3 linked regions of the Macaca mulatta genome follow. The protein of the gene in region 3 purifies or fractionates together with the protein of the main gene of each other region. This does not show direct contact. Links are inferred from orthologs where the notes say so. Each region holds a gene or a part of one and is shown on either strand. Other genes may lie near its edges. The genes, in order: NBAS, RINT1 and BNIP1.

Evidence for each region.
Region 1: the proteins of BNIP1 (region 3) and NBAS purify together in Homo sapiens (co-immunoprecipitation; 3 studies listed by BioGRID and IntAct, with this or other methods). This does not show direct contact. The link is inferred for Macaca mulatta from reciprocal best matches to the Homo sapiens genes BNIP1 and NBAS.
Region 2: the proteins of BNIP1 (region 3) and RINT1 purify together in Homo sapiens (co-immunoprecipitation; 3 studies listed by BioGRID and IntAct, counting the BioPlex papers as one, with this or other methods). This does not show direct contact. The link is inferred for Macaca mulatta from reciprocal best matches to the Homo sapiens genes BNIP1 and RINT1.

What each region holds. Positions count from the first base shown.
Region 1 is NC_133418.1:109,395,496-109,402,109, reverse strand, and holds part of NBAS (NBAS subunit of NRZ tethering complex), read right to left. Parts: intron 4,240-6,614; coding exon 4,162-4,239; intron 3,772-4,161; coding exon 3,724-3,771; intron 1,840-3,723; coding exon 1,796-1,839; intron 1-1,795. UniProt on the Homo sapiens protein: Involved in Golgi-to-endoplasmic reticulum (ER) retrograde transport; the function is proposed to depend on its association in the NRZ complex which is believed to play a role in SNARE assembly at the ER. Required for normal embryonic development.
Region 2 is NC_133408.1:145,163,728-145,170,341, reverse strand, and holds the end of RINT1 (RAD50-interacting protein 1), read right to left. Parts: intron 5,980-6,614; coding exon 5,765-5,979; intron 4,404-5,764; coding exon 4,223-4,403; intron 4,151-4,222; coding exon 4,032-4,150; intron 2,243-4,031; coding exon 2,050-2,242; 3' UTR 1,689-2,049; downstream 1-1,688. UniProt on the Homo sapiens protein: Involved in regulation of membrane traffic between the Golgi and the endoplasmic reticulum (ER); the function is proposed to depend on its association in the NRZ complex which is believed to play a role in SNARE assembly at the ER.
Region 3 is NC_133411.1:182,044,634-182,050,062, reverse strand, and holds the end of BNIP1 (vesicle transport protein SEC20), read right to left. Parts: intron 2,492-5,429; coding exon 2,295-2,491; 3' UTR 1,832-2,294; downstream 1-1,831. UniProt on the Homo sapiens protein: As part of a SNARE complex may be involved in endoplasmic reticulum membranes fusion and be required for the maintenance of endoplasmic reticulum organization. Also plays a role in apoptosis.

The sequences.
Region 1 (6,614 bases), on a different chromosome or scaffold from region 3:
ATGATCACACCACTGCCCTCCAGCCTGGCAAGAGAGTGAGGCCCTGTTGCCAGGCCCTATCTCAAAAAATAAAAAAAATTTTAAAAAATTAAAAATAACAGTATTTCCATGAGGGAGTGGGGGAATCTTCTGTATTACCATATTATAGTTCTGAAAACTACCAGTGCCTCCCACCTCCTTGCTCTCTATTGATGTCAAATATATATTTTATCCTAATACTGTTTTAAGATAAAATATTTATACTGCTGTATTTCTATTACACAAGAAAATCATATAAAGCCCTAAATACAGTGCCAGGCATACAGTAAGAACACTATAAATGTTTGTATATAAATGAACACAATGACCATGATTACCATCATTATACTTCCTACAACAATTACACTGTTAAACTAACACAAGATCAGACAGATGGAACTGCAGGTCCTGTAAATAAAACAAAGGTAATAGATGCATTTTCCTAAAACCACTCTCTTTCTCTCCCATAAGGTTCCTTCTACCTTTTCTTTTTTTTCTTTCTTTTTTGAGATGGAGTCTCACTGTTGCCGCCCAGGCTGGAGGGCAGTAGCGTGATCTTGGCTCACTGCAACCTCCTCCTCCTAAATTCAAGCGATTCTCCTGCCTCAGCCTCCTGAGTAGCTGGGATTACAGGCACATACCATTATGCCTGGCTAATTTTTGTATTTTTAGTAGAGACGGTGTTTCACCATGTTGGTCAGGCTGGTCTCGAACTCCTGACCCTGTGATCCACCCACCTTGGCCTCCCAAAGTGCTGGGATTATAGGCATGAGCCACCACGCCCAGCTCCTTCTGCCTTTTCATACACTGCTCCTGCAGACCGAAATACTCCCTGTCTTCTTCTACCTTCTAGTCATTCTTTTTTTTTTTTTTTTTTTTGAGGCAGAGTCTGACTCTGTTGCCCATGCTGGAGTCCAGTGGCTCAATCTTGGCTCACTGTCACCTCCATCTCCCAGGTTCAAGCGATTCTCTTGCCTTGGCCTCCCAGGTAGTTGGAATTACAGGCATGTGTCACCACGCCTGGCTAATTTTTGTATTTTTAATAGAGACGGGGTTTCACCATGTCAGCCAAGCAGGTCTCAAACTCCTGACCGCAAGTGATCCGCCCACCTCAGCCTCCCAAAGTACTGGGATTACAGGTATGAGCCACTGTGCCCAGACTACTCATTCTTAAAGTTGCTTTCCAAAAGTCATTTTTCTTTCTCAGCCATCTCATCTGCCACCCCTAGTTGAGAAATCTCATGGGATTTAATTTTTCCTTAATTAGATTTGTCAAAGTTTGTAATTATATATTTGAGCATCTATATGCTTCATGAGATAAAAGACCAGGTCTTTTTGCTCACAATCATACCTCAAGCACCCAGCAAAACAGCACATACACATAAATTACAGTCAGTAAATTTTTGCTGAATATATTTTAAACATGACCAAATCCTAGACTTTTTACTAGTCTGTTTCTAACTCTTGACTTACACCTATTTATTTCTGCATTTAATCCAAAATAAAAGGCTACAGACAGTTAAAAATACTTCATCCCAAAACTGGCTTAGACATTTTTTGGAACCCAGTTTCCAAATCTCACCAAAATGAACCATTTTAAAGCAAAATATTTAAGACAGTAAAAAAAAAAAAAAAAAAAGCAGTTATGTTGTTTAATTATTTTAATAGTCATGATAATCCTTAATAAACATTTAATATCTATCCTAACTTTTAAGAAACATTGTAAACCATTGCACATTTGAAATTTTCATTCTTTAAATATTTTGGAAACTCTTACCTTGACATTTCCCGATAATGGATGTAAAATCATCTTTTGCAGACCTGTAAAACATGTAAAATCAAGGCAAAAGTTTTATCATAACATTGTATAGAACCATAAAATACCAGATACTGTGGACTAGATAGTCTCTATATACAATGCTCAATCATTTCTCCTCTCAGACATGGTTTTGTGGCTCAATTATGACCCTTTTGTCAGTGACAATATTTTCTTCCAACCTTCTTATTGCATCAGATACACAGCTACTTTGTATGGAGATATATACATGGAATATAGTGACACAGCCTAAGTGAATTTACCATGGTCTTTTCATACAATAGAGATGTCTGGTCCCCATCCCTAAAGGTTCTGAATCAAGAAATCTGGGATGGGGCCCAAGCAAAAATATTTTTTTGCTGGATACATCAATCCTAATTAAGAACCACTGGTCTGTATCATATTACAAAGTTTGATCACTTAGGGGAAAAAAGTCGTATTTTAAGAAATCAAAGAGCCTTAATACGTCACCATATTTAAATCAATAACCTGTTTTAAATCTGTGATCCTGAAATATATACCAAGTAGCATAATTATTATAAAATATTTAAAAATGAAAACTGGCAAACCTTCTAGAAAATAATTTAAAAACAATTATCCAAAACCTTCATGTCGGTAGCGTTTGACCTAACAATTCTATTTCTATAAAGTTATCCCCAGGAAATAATTACAGATACATATGAATATCAAAAAAACTGGTATGGTCTCATTTATAAAGGAGGAAAATAATATCCAGTATAAAGAGATTAAACTTCGCTATGTGCACTCAAGGAAATATGGAATTACTACAGTTGATCCTTGAACAACACAGGTTTCAACTGTGCAGGTCCATGTCTATGTGGATTTTCTTCTACCTCTACCACTCTGAGACAGCAGGACCACCTTCCCTTCTTCCTCCTCCTCCTCAGCCCACTCCATGTGAAGATGACAATAATGAAGACCTTTATAACGGTCCACTTCCACTTAATGAATAGTAAATATATTCCTCTTCCACATGATTTTCCTAATAACATTTCCTAAAGAATGAACTCATTTTTCTTAGTTGCTATGGATATTTCTTTCATAACTGATACATTGTTTAAAAATAAAACACCTGAAAAGTCCAGTTTAGAGACGTCTTTAGATGTGTATATAATACCACTGAATGTCTCAAGACGACAGACAGCATAATTGGTCTCAAGTAATACGTAACCTTGGTCTTTTGAACACCCATATTCAATCTACAGTTTTGAACCAACAGAGCAAAACCATCCCTTTTTTTTTTTTTTTTTTTTTTGAGATGGAGTCTCGCTCTGTCGCCAGACTGGAGTGCAGTGGCACAATCTCTGCTCACTGCAACCAGTTCTCGGCTCACTGCCTCCCAGGTTCAAGCAATTCTCCTGCCTCAGCCTCCCGAATAGCTGGAACTACAGGTGCACGCCACCATGCCCAGCGAATTTTTGTAATTTTAGGAGAGTCAGGGTTTCACCATGTTGGCCAGGATGATCTCAATCTCTTGACCTTGTGATCCGCCCGCCGCAGCCTCCCAAAGTGCTGAACCATCCCTACTCTTTTACACCTTCCTGAGTGTCTGTTTAGCTGATGTAGCAGTAAATAGTCAAACAAAGTGATTTCCACAGTTCTGGAGGATAGGCCTCGTTTACCGAGAAAGTAAAATTTCTTAAGAAGCAACAGAATGATCTGGGGAAGGAGAAAGATAAGCATATAACTCTGAGAAAGCATCCTTAATTTTCCAACTGGCATAAGTTGGTGTTTGACACTCACAAAATTAAGTGAGTTAAAAATAAAATCCTTTTAAATATACCCCCTATAAAAATCTTAGTTTCCATTTACAGAGTAACAAACGTTTCTCAAAGGAAATCTTGAATATGAATAATATTAACAATTACCTGATTTCCACACACTGATCTTGAACAGCAGCCAAAAGCTTTCCATTGCTTTTATGGAGAAGAAAGAGGGGGAAGAAAATCTATTATCAATATCTGTAGCAGTTTTCAACACAGATGGAATTATTTAATAAGTTTAATAATTATTTAATAAGTTTAATTTTTAACTTTAATAAGTTAAAAATCATTTCTAAATTTGTTCACATGCTTTAATTATCCATCTTTTGACCTTACAATTAGATGAGGATATAGGTACAAAAGCATACGAAATGATTTAATACAGCATGAATTAACATGTTTAAACAATACTAAATATTTGCAACAAAGAGATTTACATACAATAAAAAGACTGAAAGCCATGAGGATTCCAAAATCAACATCCATAATGAAATGTAAAAGCAAATCCAGATAGAAACACATATGAATTTTACACTTCCTTACCTTGCTAGTACCAAATGCCAGTTTATTTGTTTATTAATCAAGCGAACCAGTCCATCAGGGAGCAAAAAAGGTGCAGGGCTGAAATTACAACACATTAGTTAGCTTAAAATCTACTCATGAAAACCACATATAAGCACACAAAGAGCACATATACTTACAGAGAGACAGAGAGAGATTTTTTTTCCATTAGAATATAAAATTTGAATATTAGCAAATCCAAAACCAAAAGTTACTATTTGGTAGCTGAAATTTGACCATATATATTTCTCTATTTCCAAAAAACACAGTGGTGTGTTCAAAGGTATAGTTATGTACTTCCCAGGAAACAGACATCTAGCATACCAATGACAGAGCAGAGTACACTTACACCAACCCTTTCTGCTCTAACTACCTAGGAACTCTGGCTCAGCTGTAACAAAAACAAATTTTAACATCGAGTTAAACTCACAAGAAAGAAAGATAAATTTCCAAGTACTAGAAATGAAAAGGTCACCGAAAGCTAGAATTGGGCACAGGGTAAAGAGAGAGACAAGGACTCAAAACAGGACTTAGCACGCAGGCTAGGAAATGAGCCATTGAACCAAAGAGAGGACAGGAGTTGGAAGTGAGAATCCTGCAAAAGCAATGACTGCACCAGGTCACTTAAGGAACCAGAAACACTTCACCATAGGCCCAGGGAGACTACAGACTCTCTTCTTCCCTGGAACCACGGTTCTGTGGAGGACCGGAATCAAATCTCCCATGAAAACGTGAAAGTCCAAGTCTGTACTACATGCAAGACCAGATTACAATTTCACTTTACTCACGTGATGGAAGAATCTGCAAGCGTAAGTTCAAAATAAAACCATTCACAAAAGACACGAAACTACCCACCATAAGTGATAAGTAGACACAGCAAATTAGAGGACTAATACCTGAAGAAATCAAGAAAACAGATGGAAAAGAAGAATAAAGAACATAATTCCATGAAAGAAAAATAGAAAAAAAATACATTATGGAAATCAGAAAAGACAAAATAGGATTTCAAAATGTTAGTGGCCAGGCGCGACGGTATGGGCCTATAGTCTCAGCTACACGGGAGGCTGAGGCAGGAGGACTGCTTGAGCCCAGGAGTTTAAAGCTACAGTGTACCATGATCTTGCCTGTGAAGAGCCACTGTACTACAGCCTGACCAACGCAATAAGACCCTCTCTTTAAAAAAATATATATATAAATATATATATATATGTAACACATTTATGCTCATTTTTTAAAACACAAAATAATATCAAAAGGCAGTTACAAAAATATAATGAAGATATGAAACATGTATGTGAATACTATCTATATGAGGATAATTTCCTCTGGAAGGGAAGGGAAAGGAGAAAAGTAAAGGACTTGAGATGTAACATTTTGCATAAAAAGAAAAAGAGCTAGTTGATACAGGTTTATTATATTGTCAATAATTCTCAGTATAATTAAAAGAAAAGAACTTTTTTAAAAAAATAAGAAAAAGCTACTTGAAACAAATATTGACCCCAAAACCTTTGGGTTTAATTACCATAAACTCAAGAGCACAAATGGAACAATAATCTTTTTGAAAGTAGCACATCATGAGACAGATTAATCACTTCATGGTGCATTTGCAACCTGTACAATGATCAACACAGCCAATTCAAGGACAAAGGCTTCTCAGGAGGAAGGGAGACAAAAAGATACCTTGTCTACTTATGATGCCTGATCATAAGGTTCTCATACAGAGGATAGGGCTTGTATCAGAGTTAACTTTTTGAGTCTTCCTTCTCAATAAATAACAAAAAGAATTATCAAGCAGTAACCTGAACAAGACAAGCTTAACATCTTATCCAAGGGTGTTCGGGACTAACAAGTTGTCACCTGGAGAGGTCAGAAAACACAGCCCACCTCCCATACTCCTATCCTCTACTTCCACTCTCTCTTCCTACTCATTGCTCTATCCTATCATAGCCCACACCCACAAAAAAGTGATACAATTAAGTATAGAAATTGTAAATATGCATACATATATACATATATATACATATGTATGCACATACACACATACATAGAGTAAAAGCAGAAAGACATTGGAGCAAGCCCTAGAGAAGTGCCAAAGGTCTCTTCTATGGAACTATATTATCTCTGGAACTTTATGACAGGATATTCCCAGGGAAAAGGCAATCTATCTAAATAATTCTATAAAACAATTCCTACGCATGTATCTAAAAGCAGAATTATAACTTTTTTGTCATAATAATTATTTCTTTGTTCTTTCTAAAGCTGGAGATTAGCATCCTGCCTGAAAATATACTTAGCACTCAAGGAATTAAAAAGTATACAAGAACTGAAACCTAAAGAACCTTCTCTGATACACAGCAGTTGAATATTAACCACAAGTGAGATGATGTGACAAGAACAAAAATGTTTTTTCAAAGGTATGCAAGCTACAGATGCTT
Region 2 (6,614 bases), on a different chromosome or scaffold from region 3:
TTTCAGCTGACTGGAAAGTGAGGACAGGGAAGGCTGACAGTAAAGTCTCTAAGCTCGGGAATAGGAGGGGAAAATGCTGGGGTTAGAGAGGAAGCTCCGGAGGTAGCTTCATTCTTTTTTTTTTTTTTTTTTCTGAGATGGAGTCTCGCTCTGTTGCCCAGGCTGGAGTGCAGTGGCAGTATCTCAGCTCACTGCAACCTCCACCTCCCAGCTTCAAGCGATTCTCCTGCCTCAGCTTCCCAGTAGCTGGGCTTACAGATGCGCATCACCAGGCCCAAACTTTTGTAATTTTAGTAGAGTCAGGGTTTCACCATGTTGGCCAGGCTGATCTCGAACTCCTGACCTCAAGTGATCCACTGCCTCGGCCTCCCAAAGTGCTGGGATTACAGGCATGTAATGGGCTGCGCCCAGCCAGCTCCATTCTAAATAGGAAGCCCCAGCAATTCTCAAAGGATGAGGTGAAGAATCACCACTATGCTGGGACAACTAACAGAGACACTTTGAGCTCAACACACTAGCTGGAAACTCTCTCTATAAAATACATACTAATACAATTTAGCTCAAAATTATCACAAAGTCAATGTTTATCAGTAGCATAGGCTGCATGTTAGTCTGATAATTTTAAATTTTTTTTTTTTTTTTTGAGACAGAGTTTCACTCTTTTGCCCAGGCTGGAGTGCAGTGGTGTGATCTCGGCTCATGGCAACCTCCGCCTCCCAGGTTCAAGCAATTCTCCTGCCTCAGCCTTCTGAGTAGCTGGGATTACAGGCATGCGCCACCACGCCCGGCTAATTTCGTATTTTCAGCAGAGACAGGGTTTCTCCATGTTGGTCAGGCTGGTCTCAAACTCCCGACCTCAGGTGATCCACCCGCCTTGGCCTCCCAAAGTACTGGGATTACAAGCGTGAGCCACCGCACCCAGCCTAATTTTAGATTTTGAGATATTACAGGATTAAATCACTGCTAAGTCAGAGAAAAACCACTGGAATAAAATTTAATAGTTGTAGAAAGTTTCCAGGGAATCTAGCTCAATTTTTTAAGAAGTTTTACTCTGAGATTTTATTAGTTAAGAAGCTATTATTGAATATAGCCCAAGGTCAAGGAAAAGTTACAAGAAAAAAGAAACTTGAGATTTTTGTCTCATCAGTTACATAAATAATAATGTTTAATTACATTCCCTACCACGTGGGAATGTTTGAGTCAGAGTGCCATGGCCTGAAATGTTTCATCCAGAAAGAAAATGTTGCCCACTGTCAGACAGAATGAAACTAGGAAGCATTTAAAATAGAAGGACATTTGTGAGAAAGAAGAACAATCCTATCTTATTCACCATCTCACAATGTGGTTTTTTTTTTTTTTTTTTTTTTTTTAGAGACAGGGTCTTGTTCACTTGCCCAGGCTGCAGTGCAGTGTCACAATCACAGCTCACTGTAGTCTTGACCTCCTGGGCTCAAGTTATCCTCCCACCTCAGCCTCCCAAGTAGCTAGAACTACAGACATGCAATCAGGGTCTTGACATGTTGGCCGGGCTGGTTTTGCACTCCTGCCTCAAGCGATCCTCCTACCTCAGTCTCCTAAAGTGCTAGGATTACAGGAATGAGACACTGTGCCCTGCCAGTTTTCTTAAGGAAATATAGTGAATTCCCAAACTAGATACAGGTGCCTCAATTAAAATATGCATTCTAAAGTGAGTTTAAAAAAAAATTTATTGGCTATGTTTGATTATCCACAACAGAATTTTCCTTAATTAGCACAGGAAATTGAAAGTTGGTTATAATTTAATATCTCTGCTCTTGTCTTCAACAGACATACTCAGCATTTATACTTGTAAATAGAATGAGTTTTCATTGTTTCGTTTTCTGTTTTTGTTTCCTTAGGAACAAGAGGATGAAGGAAATATGGTCAGCATTTTAATAACGCCATAAATCCAAGATAATTAATCCTATAAAGTTTTCCAGTTTCATTAATTCAGAATTTCATCGTATAACTTGAAATCCAATTGGCTTCCTCTTAAAAACAAAAACCAAGAAAACGTTTTTCTGAAAGACATTATTTTCCAGTATTAGGCCAATTTGTCCTCAAATTAAGTAGAATCTCAACATCTTGTTGAGCCAGTTTGTAAATTCCAACTTCATTTAATGCTGCTGTGGCAGGAAGTTGCCCTGAAGTTGACTGCAGTACATCTTTCAGGAGTAGTGCAGAACCGACGTTCAAATTCAAAACAATACAGGCTTCTTTTATGCTGTTTAGGGAACACAAAGGAGGGAAATGAGATCTCCATTATCTGCATCAACCATTTTTTTTTTTTTTTTTGAGACGGAGTCTCGCTCTGTCGCCCGGGCTGGAGTGCCGTGGCGCGATCTCGGCTCACTGCAAGCTCCGCCTCCCGGGTTCCTGCCATTCTCCTACCTCAGCCTCCCGCCACCTTGCCTGGCTTTTTTGTATTTTTTTTTTTAGTAGAGACGGAGTTTCACCGTGTTAGCCAGGATGGTCTCGATCTCCTGACCTCGTGATCCACCCGTCTCGGCCTCCCAAAGTGCTGGGATTACAGGCTTGAGCCACCGCGCCCGGCCGCATCAACCATATTATAACAATTTTGAGAATCCTAAACAGCTTCTCTGTACTGCTGGTCCACATGTTCTCTATAAAAATACTTATGGATTTATTATTTGGTTCTTTTAACATGGTAAGACTACACAGGTGCAGAGTTTCTATTTCTTTAGATTAAGGTGATAGGATCCCTATTTCAATATGTATCCATTATTTCCCTAAATACAATACTTGATATTAATACTATATTAAATATGGCTATAACTTTAGGTAGATTAGAATATGGGAAAAGACAAAAATAAGGGATAAAATGAAGGCAGCAGAAAGAACATTAAATTTTAAAAGCTGTCATATGAAACATGTAAACATAAGCTTTCATTTTACAAGTTTAAAAGGAATGCTTTATAACCTCACAAAACCCAAACAGTTCAAATTTTACTTTTTTTTTTGAGACATCATCTTGCTCTGTCACCTAGGCTGGAGTGCCATTGCATGATCATAGCTCACTACAGCCTCAGTCTCCCAAGTAGCTAGGACTACAGGTCCATACCACCACATCTGGCTTTTTGTTTGTTCATTTTAATACTTTTTGTAGAGATGGAGTCTTGCTATGTTGCCCAGGCTGGTCTCAAACACCTGGCCTCAAGCAATTCTCCCACCTCTGCCTCCCAAAGTACTGGGATTACAGGTGTGGGCTACTATGCCTGGTCTATAATTTAAATTTTATATCAACAAATTCTCAAACTATAATTACAGTTAGAACCAAAATTAATGTCAAATGTTTAAGGAAACAAATTTCTTTCAGGCCTGGCCTATTAAGTATTAAACATATTTGTAATTTTTTTTGTTGTTGTTTTTTTGAGACACAGTCTTGCTCTGTTTCCCAGGCTGGAGTGCAGTGGTGCAATCTCAGCTCACTGCAAGCTCCGCCTCCCAGGTTCACGCCATTCTCCTGCCTCAGCCTCCCGAGTAGCTGGAACTACAGGCACCCGCTACCATGCCTGGCTAATTTTTTTTTTTTTTTTGTATTTTTAGTAGAGATGGGGTATCATCATGTTAGCCAGGATGGTCTCGATCTCCTGACCTCGTGATCCGCCCGTCTCGGCCTCCCAAAGTGTTGTGATTACAGGCGTGAGCCACTGCACCCGGCCCTGTAATTTCTTATATTTAGTGAATAGGGCACAACTTTTTTTCATTTTCGATTTATTCCTCCAGTAACCAAGCAACTAGAAGCATTAAACCAAATACTAGAAAACAAAACCCAGTATATAATTTATATCTAGTTCTGAAACCTTTTGAGGTCACGGGTCACATCTATCATTTTGGTTTCCCCATTGTGCTGTAAACATACAGTAGACAATGTTTTAAAACTTCAACTGATCTTATCCCACCCAAACATCTCCAGAACCCTAAAGTTAAAAGGAGTTAGCCTCCTGTAACAATTTGATACATTAATATTAATTGTTAAATGTTGAGCTTACTGTTTAAAATAATTTTCTGGTCTCTTGCAATAGTGAGAAAACAAAGGGAAAAGATTCCGAGTCATATCAAACTGCAGCTGGGCTGCTCCTCCTTCATTGAAGTGATTAGCAAGAATTATCTGAAACAAAGAATAATTCATTTAATGCTTGTCTTTATTATCACAGCCCAAAGACAGTCTATTCTTACTTACTTCTTGGTAGATGTATACATCCAGCTTCTCTACAAGCATTTGCCAGAAAATTTTAAATAAGGAGAAACAAAGCTGCTGCTCCAACTGAAGTAAATGGTCTCGTAAAGTCAGCAGTAAGGGGCAGGCCGAACTGGACAGGGACATCACTGCCTGCTCTGACTGAGATGGCAAGGACAACCATCTGGAAAAAACACATTTTTACCAAAAAATTTTCATTGGTTTGTATTTTTAAAGTTTTTAAGTCATTTTAAATTGGAGGAAGTGTTCTAGGGCATTTTGGATAAGAAAAAATACACAGTCCAACATTAAAAGCTCTATCAGAAAATAAATGTACCTGTATTTTATATTTTCACTCTCAAATACTCTTTAATATGGGGATATTTTGGAAATATCCCCAAATTTTAATATGGGGATTACCAATACAAAGCAATTACAATTTAAATGTCACTTAATTTTTGCATTTTATGTAGTTTTTGTTTTGTTTTGGTTTTTGGTTTTTTTTTTTTTTTTTGAGACAGAGTCTCGCTCTGTTGGCCAGGCTAGAGCCAGAGGGTTCAAGCAATTCTCGTGTCTCAGCCTCCCAAGTAGCTGGGATTACAGGTGCCCAGCACCACGCCCAGCTAATCTTTGTATTTTTAGTAGAGACAGAGTTTCACCACGTTGGCCAGGCTAGTTTCGAATTCCTGCTCTCAAGTGATCTGCCTGCCTTGGCGTCCCAAAGTGCTGGGATTACAGGTGTGAGCCACTGCACCCAACCTGATTTTAGCATTTTAATTAAGACATCAGCTAATATTATGCTCTGATTTTTAGTAAAATCAGGACGAATAACACAAATTTTTGGCACTCTGTGTGGCAGGGACTACACTAGGACAAAAAGATACTGCTTGCTATCAAGGATGAAAGTAACACAGGTGTTCACAGTGAATGGTAGTGGGATAAACCACAACAAAAGTATGCAGAGTACCACAGGTGACTTTACTTTGCAAAATGGGAGACAGGTTAGGCTATTCAACCCCATATCACACACTATCCTATTAATATATTTACAAACAGCTAAATTATAACCAGTTTATTCTGATTAAGAATGTCAGCGAGCCAGGTGTGATGGCTCACACCTGTAATCCTAGCACATTGGGAGGCCGAGGCAGTGGATTGCCTGAGGTCAGGAGCTGGAGATCAGCCTGCCAAAATGTGAAACCAGGTCTCCACTAAAACTACAAAAATTAGCCGGGTGTGGTGGTGCATGCCTGTAGTCCCAGCTACTTGGGAGGCTGAGGTGGGAAGATCACTTGACCTCTAAGGTGGAGGCTGCAATGAGCCGAGATCATGCAACTGCACTCCAGCCTGGGTGACAGAGTAGGACTGTCTTGAAAAAAAAAAAAAATGTCCAAGAACATATTTTAGAAAGATTTCCAACAATGAAGTTTAAAGTACATAAGGCCAAACCAGGTTCTATCTAGATACCTTGGAAATCTGACCACATATACCATCTTCAACTTTTACCAAACTGGTATTAAGAGCTGACTTACATAGAGGACATACCTTTCTTTTTTATACAATTTTGCAGCATCTTTAACTTCTCTAAAAACATGGTCTACTTGACGGGTCAACATATCATGCTTTAAACGCTCTAAGAGGTTAATCATGTCATCAAAGACGGAGCTCTCCATAGAGGCTAGCTGTCCCAGCTGCAATTTACTCAGAGTATTATTCTCTGCAAACACCTCCAGTGCAGCCTGTTGAAGTTGTAGAAAGAACTGAAAGCAAAAACATGTTAACACATTAACATACTTTTTTTTTTTAAACAGCTTGAAAGAGAATTCATATATCATACAATTCACCCATTTAAAGTGTATAATTCAGCTGGGCACGGTGGCTCACGCCTGTAATCCCAGTACTTTGGGAGGCCGAGGTGGGTGGATCACCTGAGGTCAGGAGTTCGAAACCAGCCTGGCCAACATTCCAACATTGTGACACCCCATCTACTAAAAATACAAAAATTAGCTGGGCATAGTGGCATGTGCCTGTAATCCTAGCTACTCAGGAGGCTGAATTGCGTGAACCTGGAGGGCAGAGGTTGCAGTGAGCTGAGATCATGCCTCGGCTAACTGCAACCTCCACCTCTACCTCCTGGGTTCAAGCAATTCTCCTGCCTCAGCCTCCTGAGTACCTGGGATTACAGGTGTGTACCATGATGCCCGGCTAATTTTTTTTTTTTTGTAGTTTTCGTAGAGATGGTGTTTCACCATATTGGTCAGACTGGTCTCAAACTCCTGACCTCATGATCTGCCCACCTCAGCCTCCCAAAGTGCTGGGATTACAGGCATAAGCCACCACGCTCGGCAGTACAAGTTTTTATGTGGACATATGTTTCATTTCTCTTGGTATGTAC
Region 3 (5,429 bases):
TCCTAACTTGATAACATCCATCTGCTGCACTTACAGCTGGAATCTGAGTGGGAATTTCCCATCTGTGCTTTATTCTCAGCTTTAATTTGACTATAAATAAGACACATGTGTGCACAATCTGCAGTGAATGTCTTTTGGGGCCAGGAATTGTTTAAGGATGATATACAGCCTACAAAATATCTGTGCTTGCGTGTGTGTGTGTGTGTGTGTGTGTGTGTGTGTGTATTTAGAATCCACTCATGAAGCTAGTCTGAGATGTGCAGCTAGGTTTTTGTAACTTGGTGCCATGATGATCTGCCACTTTATAACTGAGGCCATAACTCTTGACATCCTCTGCTCAAACACCTCTAACAGAATGCTGGTGCCTGGCCCAGCTTTTCCTGAAGCACCTCTGCTGTCAGCTGCAGAAAATCTCAGTGCCCAGGGCCCTGGGGGTGGCAGCATTTGGAAACGCCATGGCAGGCCTGGTCTGAAGACAGCTAGCTACACTTGCTGCTTTATATTCTCTTTGCATTCTCAAGTTGACTCTATGAGGACCCATATGGACTATCTCCTCCATTTTACAGATGGGAAAACTGAGGTTTAGCAACATATGGTAACTTGCTAATGGTCCTGCGGTCCATTAGCAGTGGAGCCAAATCTCAAAACCAAGTGTTTGAGCCAAGGGTCAAAGTCCATGTTATTTCCACTTTCCCTTCAGCCTCCACACTGCCCCTCCCAAGTCCTCTGGGGCTATAAATAGTGGGGGAGGCTGGGATTTCAAGCTTGAGGTCAGCCAGGCCTGTAGCACAAAAGACACAGCACCTCTAGGGCTGGCCTAGCCTGGGCCCTCTCCCTCTGGCCTGGACAGAACTCGGGCTCACAGTCTCAGCTTCTCACTAGCTTCTCCCTCCTTCGTTATACTTAGCTCTGGACATCAGAGAGAAAGGCATGTGCCAGCCCGAATCACTGCACACCCCCAGGCCTGGCCAGGCTGCTGTGGTAGAGAAAGGCATCTCTCAACCTTTTCAGATGTTGGTATGAGCCACTTCCAACAAGGGCTGTTTTCTGTTCTGTTTCTGTTTTTTGTTGTTGTTGTTGTTGTTGTTTTAATACAGACAGGGTCTTGCTATGTTGCCCAGCTGGTCTTGAACTCCTAGGCTCAAGTGATCATCCTGCCTCAGCCTCCCAAAATGCTGGGATTAGAGGTATCACTCACTACACCTGGTTGAACAGGGGCTGTTGGACCCTCCTTCCTGATAGTCTGGAAGATTTTATTTCTGTGCCTCCTTCTGTTCCTCCTTGAGGGAGGAACCACGTCTGGTTTACCAATGTATTTGTAATGTTCAGCAGTGTCTGTAACACCCTGTGCGTGGCAGCTATTTAATAGTTCCTTGTTGTTGGGTGGCGACAGAAAGAAAATTAATAATGATAATTCTTTGTTGAATGAATGAATAAATAATCTAAGTTCATGTCCTAGAAATCCAGACATCAAGAAAAGAGGGCCGGGCTTGGTGGCTCACACCTGTAATCCCAGCACTTTGGGAGGCCAAGACGGGTGGATCACCTGAGGTCAGGTGTTTGAGATCAGCCTGGCCAACATGGAGAAACCCTATCTCTACTATAAAAATACAAAAATTAGCAGGGTGTGGTGGTGCATGCCTGTAATCCCAGCTACTTGGGGGGCTGAGGCAAGAGAATCTCTTGAACCCAGGAGGCAGAGACTGCAGTGACCCAGGATTGCACCATTGCACTCCTGCCTGGGCAACAGAGTAAGTCTCCATCTCAAAAAAAAAAAAAAAAAAGAAAGAAAAGAAAAAAGGAAAGAGGAACACACATTCTCAGAGGGCTACCTTACAAAATCCAATACATTTTATTCTATTAAATAAAATCAAGTTTATTCAAGGAATGACCAGGAGTTTTCATCACCTTTCTTCCTACCTCTTCTCTCTTCACTCCACCAGATCTGGCATTTAAGGGCACGGTGGGAGAGGGAGACAGGTGAGGCATCGGGTCCTGGAGGCTGGACTTTAAGTGCCCCACAGAGTGGCCGCAGCCTCCCATAGTGCACGATGAGGGAAGGAGGCAGTTCCTATGTCCCCAGGGCGGCATCCCAATGACAGGCCTCCCTCCCATGGTTCTGTTCACCCTTTACAAGCCAGCCACTTGCGGAAAAGTGGGGCACTATGTTCCATCCAACCTGCAGGCAAGTGGCACAAATGGAGGGGTGTGTGGCTCAGCTTGGCAGCCTAGAGCTCAGGAACCAGGATCCTGAAACAGGAGCTGAAAGGGCCAGAACTGGCACCTTTGGGATCTCACAAAAACGGAAAGAGCCGCTTTTTCACGATATAGAGGACCGTAGCAAGAAACAGAGCCAGCGCAAGGAAGATGAGAAGCTTGTCCGTCAGCTCCCGGCGATTGTATTTTGTGATAAGCTTCCGGCCCAGCTGGATGGTCCCTGACATGGACTTAAATTCTTCATTTGCATCCAGGATCGTTCGTGAAGAAGTGACTGAAACAAGAGAGGAAGGAGGCCTAACTCAGAGAGACTGCAGCTCAAGATCCAAAGACCTCACCCTGCTGGCTGGGACGCTGACAAAAACCAGCATTCTCGAGCGAGTTCCTCTGAGCTGGAATCAAAGCATGTGGAGACCAGCCAAGGAGCGGACAAGGAAAGGCTCCTCCCCAGGTCCCATCAGCTCGAGCGAGTGAGGCGGTTTGTTTGGGAGTCCTCGAACGTGAATGTCACCAGGGAGAAGGGCAGAAGAGGCTTGCTCCCCCAGCCACCTCCTCAGCTCTCTGAAGCAGATGGACGCTGTTCAGGGGAACCACCAGCCATAAAACCAACCCGAGGATCTTGGGCGGGCACTGTGAGGTCTGTGTTGGGGCAGCAGCCGAACGCACCAGAACCTTCCACCTGTGAGGTGTGGCCTCTAGGACATCTGCTGGCCAGACTGGCTCTTTGCAGGATCTCAAAAGGGCAAGGGTATGCCAGGCTCTGCCTTAAGCCCTCACACATACCAGTCCCTCAGTCCAGGGACACTGGCTGTAGCTTTAAGAAGGTGACACCTAAGAAGAGGCCAATATCCCTTAAGGGATCATTGTGCCCAGAGTCAGATGTATTTCTGAATATGGGTATCTGGGCATGACGCTGAGGGTAGAAGGTGTACCTGGCGAGATTCTCTCACAAAACAGAGTGAGGCATCATCAGAACAGCCACTGAATAGAATACGTTGAGCGAAAAGGGAAAGTGTAAAGGAACACCTGTGAAATGTTTCCATTTAGGTAAGAAACAGGGAGATAAAATAGTATTTCATTTGCTTAAGTTACAAAAGCTTGGAGGATCACAAGATATTTTTTTAAAAAGACACTGGTAACACTGGTTGCCTCTGGGAAGTGGACCAGAGGGCTGGCAGGTAGGGGTCAGCTGGAGGTCAGAACAGACAGTGACCTTTTCTCTGTCCCTTTTGTACTGCCCAGAGCTGTGCTGGCCAATATGGCAGCCCCTAGACATGCAAGGCTGCTGTGCATAGAAAAACGTGGCTAATCCAAATGGAGATGTCAGTGAGCGTCAAATCCACAAAATGTTTTTTTGTTTGTTTGTTTGTTTGTTTGTTTGTTTTTTGAGACGGAGTCTCGCTGTGTCTCCCAGGCTGGAGTGCAGTGGCATGATCTCGGCTCACTGCAAGCTCCGCCTCCCGGGTTCACGCCATTCTCCCGCCTCAGCCTCCCAAGTAGCTGAGACTACAGGCGCCCGCCACCACGCCCGGCTAGTTTTTTTTTGTATTTTTAGTAGAGACGGGGTTTCACCATGTTAGCCAGGATAGTCTCGATCTCCTGACCTCGTGATCCACCCGCCTCGGCCTCCCAAAGTGCTGGGATTACAGGCTTGAGCCACCGCGCCCGGCCTGTTTGTTTGTTTTTGAGATGCAGTCTCACTCTGTCATCCAGGCTGGAGTGTAGTGGCATGATCTTGGTTCATCACAACCTCCACTTCCTGGGTTCAAATGATTCTCCTGCCTCAGCCTCCCGAGTAGCTGGGATTACAGGCATGCACCACACGCCCAGCTAATTTTCTTCCTGTATTTTTAGTAGAGACGGGGTTTCACCATGTTGGCCAGGCTGGTCTCAAACTCCTGACCTCAGGTGATCCACCCGCCTCAGCCTCCCAAAGTGCTGTGATTACAGGTGTGAGCCACTGTGCCTTGCCAAAATCCACACAATGTTTCAAAGACTTAATATGAGAAAAAGGGCCAGGTGCAGGCAGATCACGAGGTCAGGAGATCAAGACCATCCTGGCTAACATGGTGAAACCCCGTCTCTACTAAAAATACAAAAAATTAGCTGGGCGTGGTGGCGGGTGCCTGTAGTCCCAGCTACTCGGGAGGCTGAGGCAGGAGAATGGCGTGAACCTGGGAGGCGGAGCTTGCAGTGAGCCGAGATGGCGCCACTGCACTCCAGCCTGGGCAACAGAGCGAGACTCCTTCTCAAAAAACAAAAAAGAGAAAAAGGAATGTAAAATATCTCAATAATTTTTAATATTAGTTGTATGTTGAAATTACAATATTTTACATAATGGATTAAATAAACTATTTTATTAAAATTAATTTCTTATGTTTCTTTTTACTTTTTAAAATGTGCCTACTAGAAAATTTAAAGTTCCATATGTGGCTCCTGTTATGTTTCTGCTGGCAGTCCTGGGCTCGAGTTTTTACCCTTCTCTATGTTGTATGTGTTACCTTTTCACAAAATTAAAAGCTAACAAGTGAATAAGATAAATTATCAGAGGAAACACAGCAGCGTTTTGAAAATGACAGATAAAAGGAGAAAAACAAACACAGAACAGGAGTCCTCCTCTGCCCGCTTTCTCCACGCCTGCCTGCTGCGATTTCAAAACCCTGAGGTCTTGCTAAGTAAAAACCTAATAGGCCTTTCTTTTTAAACTTTATTATTACGGAGAATTTCGAACCATCACAAAGCAGACAGCATGATATCATGAAATGTCATGTGTCCACCACCCATAACTAAGGACCACCAACCTCTGAAATCCTGTCCCCCTCTCCCACAACTCCCAACTCCTGCAATTGTACAGCAAATTCCAGATACCATATTCCTAATAAGCTTTTTGTTTCAAAATTATGGTCCTAGTAGGCTTTTAAATCAAGCTGAATTTGTGAGGCATAAGGAAGGGGTTAAGAACTGTATTCTTCTCTTTTCTTCAATAGCTATCGCTTCTACAAAATGGGCCCCGAGAACACAGGGACCCTCTCAACACCCCAGGAGCCACCAGCATTTGTGTCTCCTTCCCACTCTTAGCAGGGGGTATCCTGTCACCACACCACAGCATAAAAGCCCTGGACTCGGCTGGGCGCAGTGGCTCACGCCTGTAATCCCAGCACTTTGGGAGGCCCAGGCAGGCGGATCACGAGGTCAGGAGATAGAGACCGTCC